Kluyveromyces lactis: one gene and its partners. The protein of the gene in region 1 interacts with the protein of each later gene in a pairwise test. Links are inferred from orthologs where the notes say so. Each region holds a gene or a part of one and is shown in the gene's direction. Other genes may lie near its edges. The genes, in order: CDC7, CDC53 and CDC5.

Region 1 (3,375 bases):
CCGGAGCTAAAAGACCTCGCAAAAGGTGATTTTTTTAGTGCATGGGGAGGAATTGCATCCGTCGGGTTGGGACTACCATTACTATACACTAACGGTGCTTCCATCGCTGAAATCATTCAATGGTGTTGCGAGAACACCAGTAAGCAAGTTGGTCTTGATCACAGGAAGGGTTTCCTAAGAACTGGATACGACGCAGATTTTGTTATCTTCGACATCAATACCTATCAGACTGTCGACAACGATAAAGTTTATTTCAAAAACAAACTGACAGCCTATGATGGGTTCAAACTGAAAGGTTTAGTGAGAAACACCTATGTTAGAGGAAAATTGGCTTTTGAACTTGACGGCATGGGACATAATAAAAACCCTCCCGGCCAGACAATTCTTGAACGCAGAAGAACATGAAGTACCCCATCTTCTAATCATTTTTTTTTCTTCAATTTTGAATTACCTTTATTTGATGCATGATATACATATTATATATATATCACTTATGATTTAAATTTACCTAGAATATACTTCATTATTATAATTTCTAGAACAGCAATCGTCGGTACAAGAACTATGGAGCAAATTGATATGGTGACCAACCTCGATGCTATTGATTTAACAGTGTGGTGGTTTCTTTCTGCACGTGATTTGTACAGCTTCAAATTTCTTTCCAAGACTTGAAGCTGATCCTCTATTATATTTACAGAATCTTGCAGTGTCCTCACCAGTGAACTATCTATCGTCTCTCCTATCAAACGAGGATCTGCTGGCTTCGGTATCTGATCGAAACATATCTGTACAATGTCTAAATCAACAATCTTAGGATATTCATCACCAATGACACATAACGCATATTCACCAGTATGTTTCGCAGGAAATGTCCATTGCCCTTGCTCTTCGTCATCTTTGTAAATCATAGGATACTCTGTATCGTCCGGAGACCATAATTCATAGCTTACTCTGAAGGCATTGTTTTCTCCCTCTTGTACTGCGAAGTAATAAGATATTTTGCAGTCACTGTCATCAACATCAATGTAAACACATTCTTTCCCATTCTTCTGTAATTGTACCGTTATTGGTGAGCTTTGACAGACAATCACAAGCGAAAATACCCATAACCATGTAAACTTCATATTTAATAAGTTATACATGAAGGTTGCTTTGTGTGTAAATGTCCTTTTATTCGACAATTCCCCTTTTAACGTCCTGTTTCTGTTCATTAATATATGTCATTTCAATGTGAACTACTGCTGTTTGTTATTATATTTGGTTTCGACAATAAAAATGAAAACATCGCCAAAAAATGCATAGAATAAAAGAATCAACGGATATAGCGTATCTGTTCTTGTAGAGTCAAACCAATGGGTATACAGCTCGTCTGTTAGGCTTCATATTAGGTGGCAATATACACACTATAATTATGGATGACATTCCCGCTGAAATCATCCAGGAAATGGATGATTTGTACGATAAGGTACCACAGTTGTCATCCAGATACAAGCTACTGGATAAGATCGGAGAGGGGACCTTTTCATCGGTATATAAAGCTCAAGATCTTAGCAACGTATCTGGAAGGTTATACCCTGATCATTTCTGGGATAAGAATAGTAAACATGTGGCTATCAAGAGGATATACGTGACAAGCTCGCCGAACAGAATTGAAAATGAACTTAAACTCTTAGAGTTACTGTCAAATTCGAATAACGTAGCACCATTATGCGACGCGATTCGATACCAGGATCAGGTGGTTGTCGTCTTGCCCTGGTATCCGCATGAAGAATTCCGGCATTTCTACCGAGACATGCCTATCAAGGGGATAAAGAAGTACATGTTTGAACTTTTAAGCGCCTTGAAATACGTGCACTCATTTGGAATCATTCACAGAGACGTGAAGCCAACCAATTTCCTATACAACCCAATACTTGGGAGAGGTGTGTTAGTAGACTTTGGTTTGGCTGAAGAGAATGAAGAGTTGTACTTGCCTGACCTCAACTATCGTGTGTATGTTAATGACCAGGGAGAGAAGGTTTGTAATTGTTCTTCACCGTATGCTAACAACAAAAAGACATCACATCTGCCGTTGATATCCATTCAGAACGGGCAGCTTAACGTTAGAGGGGCAAATGAATTAAGTGCTGCACAAAGTGAGAATCTCATGAAGGCAGAATTGAGTAAGGGGTACCCAAAACATGAAACTAGGAGGCAGCGTAGAGCTAATAGAGCTGGTACGAGAGGGTTCAGAGCGCCAGAAGTGCTTATGAAATGTTCTTTCCAAACTCAAAAAATTGACATTTGGTCAGTTGGTGTGATACTGTTAAGTTTCATCAGCAGAAGGTTCCCAATCTTTCAAAGCATGGATGATATTGACGCCTTTCTGGAGATATGTTGCATTTTTGGAATCAAGCCCATGCAAGAAGTCGCCAAGTTCCATGGGTTGGGACTAGACATGACAAAGGTTCCAGGTTTCCATTCGGAAGGATATCCTGGGGGGCTACAAGGTTTTGTGAGAGCTTTACTTGACAAAGAAGTGGAGGAAGGAACATTACCAGAGTATTCCATAGCGTTCGAGACGTTGGATTATTTGACACAATTTGACAAACAACTCACGCCAAGTTTAGGCCCAGACGATGAAGAGGATATTGATGATAAAATACGGAGCTACAAACAAGCAGTTTGGGACGATCATTTTTGGTGTTTTGATCTCTTGGCAAAATGTTTCGAACTCAATTCATACAAAAGACCCAGCGCCAGTGATCTTCTTGAACATTTATGGTTCAAAGAACTGAACGAAGATTTACTTGATAGAGATCAAAGAAGAGAAGATCACTTCACCGGGGTCGTTGAGTAATGAAATCCAGAACGAAACAAAAATATTTGACGAAAATTAGCATATATTCACCGCAATAACTTAGAGCAGAACTCATTTTTTATATACATGCATTCATATATAGAGTTCTTTAACCGATAGAGTAATTTAATACTTTGCATTCATCATCATTATTATATTTAGTTTACAAACGTTGCCAACGCTTTGACGGCATAAGTTAGAGAACAAGTGCGTAAATAAACGAGTAAAACAGCGTTATTCACTTAAGAGAGAATGCTATAATACCCCAAGTCAAATATGTATGTGGTGATAGTAATTGGTGAATTCAGAACAAGAATGGGATCAAGAATGCTCTCTTGGTACCATATTTCTTGTTTTTCTTTTGAGCCCACAAGTACATCTGAACCACCGAGACAACAAGGAAAAGAACTGAGAATAAGTTCAACTTGAACAACAAAGTGAAAAACATCCAAGCCCAAGATTCAAAAGTGTAATTTGGAGCGACAAGTAGTTTGAACAACCCAGAATTCAATGGGACTCTCTTCGTGACACCGTTT
Region 2 (4,161 bases), on another chromosome or scaffold:
ATACCTCAACAACCAAGTACTATCATGGCGCTATGTGTTAATTCCATCGCTATATTATATTTGGTTTATATCGGATATGACGAATTTTCAGGGAAACCGCTAGGAATTAGAGATCCTATGACTAAAGTCAGACTAATTATGCTGGACCTTTTATTCATCATATTTTCAAGTGCTAATTTATCGCTTACCTTCAATACATTATATGATAATCGATGGGTCTGCACATCTACTGGAACGTCACAAGTTGATCCTCCGCACGTAGGATATATATGTGACAAACAAAGGGCGCTCGCGGCGTTCCTTTTCTTGGTCTTGGTCACTTGGGTTGTAACGTTCAGTATTAGCATATTAAGGGTCGTGGAAAGAGTCAGTTCTGGTGCTCCAAGACCCTAAGACTATTCTTGAAACGGGCCCTTCCGACTTAAGACGCCTGTAGATTAATTGTTTTAAATAAATCATTATTCCATGAGAGTACATAATTTGTTTACAAACCCAACAAAAGAAAATCAAAAGTACCAAAGAAAACCTTATAAACATATAAGTTTGGGCCCTGTATTAAACAACATAATTAGACGACTGCAGTATGCTAAAGTATATTTGCCGAAAGCTGTAATCCTTACCCTCTTTTAAGTACTTTAATAATAAGATCAGATTCATATTGAGGAACAATTCAGGATTTTTTGATATTCCAATAATGTGTGGCAAACGAAAACAAAAATATAAGAAATTATAGTAACATAGTATGCAATTATATAAATCAGTATATAACAAGTAAGGCTGTCAAAAAGGGTCAAAATATCGAACAACTCGGAGATACTTCACGATAGAAGCAATATAAAGTTTTCCTGTGTGACCCTTTTTTATAGGATCCCGCCAACAAGTGGTGCATTTCATATTTAGCAGTGAAGGCGCTTTCTATTCTGTTTTATCCTTTCTTTCGATTCATTGAAAAGGGTTGCTCGACTAATTGGGACTCGAACTGTATTTTCTATCGCTGCTGATTTCAGTTTACTACCAAATCTTTATTTACAAGTACCGCTACCTGCGCCCTTGGGAATACTATTATTCTAAAGCGTATATTTAACTGGGTTAGTGGGAAGCAAGTCTCATTAACGCTTCAGAAAAGATAACTTAGGCATCGTTCAATAGAAATATTACTGGTAAAAGAAACTACACGTGCAATCAATAAGAAACAAGTCTAATAAGCTATGGCAGACACATTACCTAGATCAGATGATTTGGAAGCAACATGGAACTTTGTGAAGCCTGGGATCGACCAGATCTTGGATCGTGATGGTACATCGGATATAAAGACAAACAGAGTTCAGAAAGTTCTTTCCCCAAGGATGTACATGGAGGTATACACGGCGATTTATAATTACTGTGTCAACAAGTCACGTTCTACAGGTCATTTCCAATCTGATATTATAGGGAAGCAAATGAATCAATCTTCGATTCTTGTTGGAGGAGAAATCTATGAGAACTTAAAGAATTATTTGAAAGATTACATATCGAATTTAAAGAAAGATGATAATGTAACGTTTTTGAATTTCTACGTGAGACGCTGGGAAAGATTTACAATCGGAGCTATTTTCTTAAATCGGGTCTTCGACTATATGAACCGTTACTGGGTGCAAAAGGAAAGAAGCGATGGTAAAAGACACATTTTCGATGCACATACTTTGTGCTTGATGACGTGGAAAGAAGTTATGTTTGAAACACATAAGACGGAACTCGTTACTGAAATATTCGATCAATTGGATTTGCAGCGGAGGGGTGAATTAGTGAATAAATCTGCTATTACAATAGCAATAAAATCCTTTGTGATATTAGGTATCGATCCATCAGACTTAAAGAAGTTGAATTTGAATGTGTATATTCAAAACTTCGAACAGCCATTCCTACAGAAGACAAAAGAATACTACACGAAGATGTCCAACGAATTCTTAGACTCTCACAGTGTCTCTGAATACATCGAAAAGGCAAATGAATGCATAATCTTCGAAGAAAAGGACATGATTTTATATTTGGATTCCCATACATCGGCACCATTGTCTACAGCTTTGAACCAAGTTTTGATTGCTGATCATGCCGATAAGTTAAAAAAAGAGTTTATTTTACTTTTGGATAAGCAAGATCAAAGATTGATTAAGCTCATATACGAATTGATGAAACGCGATTACCGAATGTTACCAGATTTGGTGGATACTTTTGATATGTACATCAAGAGAGTCGGAAATGAAGAAATCGATAAATTAATTGATGCACATAATAAGAGTGCAGCACAAGATTCAAACGCTAAAAGGCAACCGGGATTATCACCTAGAGATTACTTGAAATGTTTAATAGGAGTTTACAAACTCTTTTACAATATCACCATAGAATGTTTTGAAAATCATCCTGCTTTTGCTAAGGCTTTAGACTATGGATGCCGTTGCTTCATTAACAATAACTCATTCGCTATTCCTCCTGGTTCACCTAAATTTGCGACTTCTAGAGCTCCTGAGATGTTGGCGAAATACAGTGACCAGTTGCTCAAAAAGTCGACCAAGAATAATGAACAGGTAGATTTGACCGTGGATGATATCATGACTGTCTTTAAGTTCTTGGCCGACAAGGATGCATTTGAGATGCATTACCGAAAAAATTTAGCAAAAAGATTAATTCATGGATCATCAAAATCAGAAGCTGATGAAGAAATCATTATCCAAAGACTACAGTCCGAGAACAGTCTTGAATACACCAGCAAGATTACCAAGATGCTACAAGATGTCAAATTATCTAAAAACTTGCATGATGAATTTTCCACGTTCATTTCACAAGATGGGAATAATACTACTAGCGCCGCAACTTTCAGAAGCAAAGTTCCTGAATTAGAACCTCTAATTCTTGCAGACAATGTATGGCCCTTCAGCTATCAACCAACAGAATTCGCATTACCACCAGTTCTTGAACATAGTAAGAACAAATTGGAAACCATGTATACTGACAAGCATTCTGGTAGAATATTGAAATGGCTATGGCCAATGTCTCGTGGTGAAATCAAGGCACATATTGGTAAACCAGGCAAACCACCATTCCAATTCACTGTGACTATTTTCCAAATGGCGATTCTTACCTTGTTTAATGATATATCTACGTTGACCTTTGAACAAATACAAGAGAGAACCAATTTGAAGGCTACACAGATTGCGTCTAATATGTATCCGTTTGTGAAGATGAAACTATTAATACAATCTCCAGAAGGGGTGGAAAGTATGATCAAGTTAGATACAAAGTACACCTTAAACAAACCCTATCGATTATCGAAAACTAGTGTTAATTTTGCAGCCGCTGTGAAAAATGATCTAACCTTTACTGCAACCGTTAATGGATCTGCATTAGATGAAACAGAGGCATCTGAGCAAAAGAAAGCAGAAAAGGAACTAAATCAACAAAGATTGATGTTCTTAAGAGCATGCATAGTGAGAATTATGAAGGCAAAGAGAAAACTACCACACAGTTCATTGATGAACGAGTGTATTGCCGAATCTCAACAGAGATTCAACGCCAAGGTGTCCATGATCAAAAAAGCTGTCGACAATCTAATAGAACAAGAGTATTTGAAAAGGACAGACGACGGTGAATGCTATGAATATCTAGCGTAAACGCTCACTTTTTTATCCACCTTTTACTTCGCCATACATATGTATAAGAAATGTATATGTATCAACATATATTTCGCAACCATTCGACCATTCGACCAAAGGTCAACCTTGGGCCCCATATTTTCAAGCATGAATATTCCCAAGAAAAAAAGAGAGACATCATGAAAGGACCGACGAGTATACTATTCATTACTCAATAGCCAAACCTAAATGCTTGGGTAGCCCTCTCTGCTCTCTTGCTGCTCTCACTACTCTCAGTGACTACCTTAGCATCATTCGGAAGGTGTTTGTCAATACCTGCTGCAAAAATCTACGTTCATCGGATTTAAAATCCACAGGAATATTCACGAAAATTGGTCATGATTAGACTTTAGCTCGAAATTGAGTGGGAATTTTACCATATTTCTTTTCATTGACCATATTTCAATTATGGGAAAGAAAAAATTCAGATTTCAGATGAGTCAAGCCATATCAAGGCAGTTTCGATGACATGAATGAGTCTGAAAAAAAAAAA
Region 3 (4,186 bases), about 140 kb from region 1:
CACTAATTCGATAGAAGTACTATATAGGGTTCTTTTTACCTGCCTATTCAAGTCTGTAGCGCTCTAAAATGGGCTATATCAAATTACTTTGGTTGTGGTCCGTCTTAACCTTAAATTTCTTATCGTAAATATAAAACAAAGGAAATTCTAAAGTAGATATATTACCGACACCAGTAATATAGAACTCTCTCGACCGTTTAGGATGTTTCTTTTTTATTAGTTTTCTTTAGGCGCTGATCAGGACAGTGCCTCTTCTCTTACTAAAAAATAGATCAGCTTTTTCTACCGAATGCTTGAAGATTTGATTTTTCAAGAATCCAAGACATTCAACAGATATTAACCTGTAAAGGGCAGAAGTGAAAATGAAAATAGAACAACCGTAAATTTTCAAAATTGCCCCCAAAAAAAAAAAAGTCTCACGTGATCTAATATTCGGGTAAGGTAATTATTTGCTTTTTCATTAGATACTTACTTAGGAAAATGTCCTTTTAAAGAAATAAGGGTTTTTGGCACTTACCGCATTGAGTGTTTTGTTATTGTTTACATTTTGTTCATTTCCGTTGTACAGATTTGGTTAATGTCGAAAAAAATTCAATAATGTAAATAGTCGGTTTTGTGTTTTCAAAGTTGACAAAACTAGTAATTTGTCGGTTTGAATAAATTTGAAGTTACAGTAAATTGCGGTAGCTCATTGTCATTGATATTACTATTTGGGTATCCTTGTATACTGGTTTGGCTTTTATATCAGCTTAAAAGTACTGGGTTTGGTATAATATACTATTATATTGGAAGGGAAAAAAGTCAGATTCTAATATTATACAGTCTTTCTTTACATACTTCCTAAGAGCATACTTGGCATAAGAGAGGGCGGGAACTCAGTCCTTTAATTGTTACCATCTTACCTGAGACGTATCAAGTGCTTATAACAAGGGTTCTTTTGATATTAGAAGCATTTTTTTACTGCGACTGCCATAATTCAGTTGAAAGTTCGATTATTCTTAGGAATACTTACATCACTGATATTAGTTTACAAACTTGCAGGTGAAAGGAAGACTTACAGTGAGCGGAAACATCATTTAACAGTCAGAATCTTGGTTGTTGTACTCATTCTGCTGTTGTTAACCTAAATCGCTTCAGTTTTTCAACGGTGCCAGTGCTTTGACGTCGTAGATTCATTTTTTTTGATCGAGAGCCACAAAACCGTTAATTGCAAGGTATTTATTGGACGGGCCAAGGAAATACACGCAAGAAAGAAATTAGTTACTGGAGGTTGATAAGTGTAGACTATTTATCACACATTGCAGTGATATTTCTTGTATACTGGTTCGACAAGGGTGTTTGACATAACAAAAGCTCGCAGGAGTATCATTCCATCAAAGAGCTACAAAATAATCAGACATCATGTCTGCACCACCACTTCAAATCATCAACGATAAACAGCTAAATGCTCGATCGAATAATATTCATACACCGATCAAGGCTAAAAGGGTTGTTACTGAGCTGCATCATATAGATAGACTTACTACGAATGGTAAACCCACCAATAATAATAATAACAATAATAATAATAATATCAATCGTCAGCAGCCGCCTCAGAAAAAGAAGAAGGAAAAACTCTCTTCTTTATGCAAAACACCTCCATCGTTGATCAAGACTAGAGGACGGGACTACCACAGAGGACATTTCTTAGGTGAGGGAGGATTTGCTCGTTGTTTCCAAATGAAGGATGACAAGGGAAAAGTATTTGCTGCGAAGACAGTTGCTAAACTGTCTATCAAATCTGAAAAGACAAGAAGGAAATTACTATCAGAAATTCAGATCCACAAATCTATGAAACATCCCAATATCGTTCAATTTACAGACTGTTTCGAAGATGATACTAACGTTTATATCTTATTAGAGATCTGTCCAAACGGATCTGTTATGGAATTATTAAGACAAAGAAAACATTTGACGGAACCTGAAGTAAGATTCTGTATGATCCAAATCATTGGTGCCATAAGATATATGCACAGTAGAAGAGTTATTCATAGAGACTTGAAACTTGGAAATATTTTCTTCGATAAAGAGTACAACTTAAAAATCGGTGATTTCGGTCTTGCTGCTGTCTTGGCAAATGATAAAGAGCGTAAATATACCATTTGTGGTACACCTAACTATATTGCTCCAGAAGTGCTCACCGGAAAGCACACTGGTCACTCATATGAGGTTGATATTTGGTCAATTGGTGTGATGCTCTATGCATTGCTATTCGGTAAACCACCATTCCAGGCAAAAGAAGTTGAAACAATCTATGAAAGAATTAAGTGTAGAGATTTCATTTTCCCAGCTGACAAACCGGTATCCTCAGATGCTAAAAACTTGATTTCACATCTCTTACAGTTAAATCCAGCCGCCAGACCATCGTTATATGAAATAACTGATAACGTATGGTTCAGAAATACTTTCCCTTCAAGATTACCGTCTACAATAACCAAGGAGATTCCAAATTTCGATCACCTCAGTTTCAGCGAGTCATTGATTAACTTGAAACAATGTATGCTAAACTCAGGGTTACTTAAGAGCTCACAAACTCATTCTTATGATGGTAGTAAGAATCCAATTGAGTTAGTGAGAACAGAAATAGAAGAAGAAAGAAACAGAGCTGTTTTACCACAATCCTTGTCACCAGGCGGAACCAAAAATAAATATAAAGAAGTTATCGATCTTGATGGCCACAGAAAATTTAACGAGATGGCATATCAAAATCGACTGAAAAAAGCCGGAGAGAATCTATTCTTCAAGCCTGAGTTGGTGGCAACTTCAACTAACATGATTAAATCCGAAATGTCGCTGAAAATACTTGCAAGTGAATGCCACATGACACTACGAGGGATCAAGAGTGCCGAAATAGATAAGAGGCAATCAAACTATCCTTCTCCAGACTCCACCGTACAAGACCCAATCGTGGTCACAAAATGGGTAGACTATTCGAACAAACATGGATTTGCATACCAGTTATCAACTGACGATATCGGGGTGTTATTCAACAACGGAACCACAGTATTAAAGCTAGCAGATGCGGAAGAATTCTGGTATATTAACTATGATACTAAGGAAGGATGGGTTGCAAGCCATTATAAATTAGAATCTAAACCTATTGAATTAACAAGACACCTTGAAGTGGTCGATTTTTTCTCAAATTACATGAACTCCAATTTGAGTAGAATTTCTACGCTGGTCCGTGAAACTTATCATAAAGATGATGTGTTCTTGAGAAGATACACCCGTTATAAACAGTTTGTTATGTTTGAGTTGAGTGATGGTACTTTCCAATTCAACTTCAAGGATCACAATAAATTTGCATTGTCACATGGAGGTAAATTCTTAACATTTATTTCATCTGATCGTAAAACGATAACGTTACTGCTTTCGAGTGTTCTAATAGATGGATGTGTACCAGGATTCCCTTCTATTGATATATTCGAGAAACTAGAACTAATGAAGGAGGGCTTGAGAGATAAAGCAAGTGTTCTAACAATACATTAGGTAGGGATGTCATTGTGATAATATGCAATTTGCATTTGAATGTCTTCATCTGGTTGTACAAGCCAGCATGTATGGCTACGTCCATCAAGCGCCTTTATGTATTTTTTTCGCATTCCTGCATCCAACGATTTATACCAAATGATACCAGCTATTCCTGATCGTTGTGTTCCCCCGATTGCAACTTCTAAAACTGCCATCCATTCTGTATCAAAATATCTTCACCTGTCAGATTTCATTGTTTCATTAGTTAATTTTGAATCTGTGATGAAATAAGCCTGGGGCTGCCAGAATAAATTTGTTTAATTTAACATAAATTAATAATTGAATCTTAACATGATCCCTCACCAGAAAAACTGTATCTTAAAAGTAACAACAAATGTATACAAGTTAGAAAGATGTGAAGATATCAAAATTCGAATATCTTGTTCCTTCCAAGGTTTTTTTATTGCAAACAAGGTCACTATTCTGTACTGATAATACCCAAAAAACCCAAAAGAAATAGTCCTATACACAATGAACGTTGAACTTTACGGTGGATAGTAATACGCTCTCCTATTTTATAGCCGAAACACAACACAGTTCATGAAAATAATACATAGAAGGGAAGAGGGGATAGAGAAAAACCGAAGGAGGTTCAATAATTCTTTTGAAAAGATGA

Evidence for each region.
Region 2: the proteins of CDC7 (region 1) and CDC53 interact in a two-hybrid assay, tested with the Saccharomyces cerevisiae proteins (2 studies listed by BioGRID). The link is inferred for Kluyveromyces lactis from reciprocal best matches to the Saccharomyces cerevisiae genes CDC7 and CDC53.
Region 3: the proteins of CDC7 (region 1) and CDC5 interact in binary tests that used the Saccharomyces cerevisiae proteins (3 or more experiments, as listed by UniProt). The link is inferred for Kluyveromyces lactis from reciprocal best matches to the Saccharomyces cerevisiae genes CDC7 and CDC5.

What each region holds. Positions count from the first base shown.
Region 1 is NC_006039.1:396,488-399,862, forward strand, and holds CDC7 (serine/threonine protein kinase CDC7), read left to right. Parts: upstream 1-1,411; coding exon 1,412-2,839; downstream 2,840-3,375. Other genes in the region: DAL1 (allantoinase), read left to right, coding at 1-405; ERP3 (Erp3p), read right to left, coding at 492-1,211; trans-2-enoyl-CoA reductase (NADPH) TSC13, read right to left, coding at 3,144-3,375. UniProt on the Saccharomyces cerevisiae protein: Serine/threonine-protein kinase. Needed for the initiation of DNA synthesis during mitosis as well as for synaptonemal complex formation and commitment to recombination during meiosis. Required for HTA1-HTB1 locus transcription repression.
Region 2 is NC_006042.1:536,713-540,873, forward strand, and holds CDC53 (cullin CDC53), read left to right. Parts: upstream 1-1,208; coding exon 1,209-3,647; downstream 3,648-4,161. Other genes in the region: SRF1 (phospholipase D regulator), read left to right, coding at 1-393. UniProt on the Saccharomyces cerevisiae protein: Core component of multiple cullin-RING-based SCF (SKP1-CUL1-F-box) E3 ubiquitin-protein ligase complexes which mediate the ubiquitination and subsequent proteasomal degradation of target proteins.
Region 3 is NC_006039.1:539,008-543,193, forward strand, and holds CDC5 (polo kinase CDC5), read left to right. Parts: upstream 1-1,401; coding exon 1,402-3,528; downstream 3,529-4,186. UniProt on the Saccharomyces cerevisiae protein: Protein kinase required for the cell cycle where it is involved in mitotic exit. A component of the fear (CDC14 early anaphase release) network which promotes CDC14 release from the nucleolus during early anaphase. Phosphorylates SCC1/MCD1 and NET1.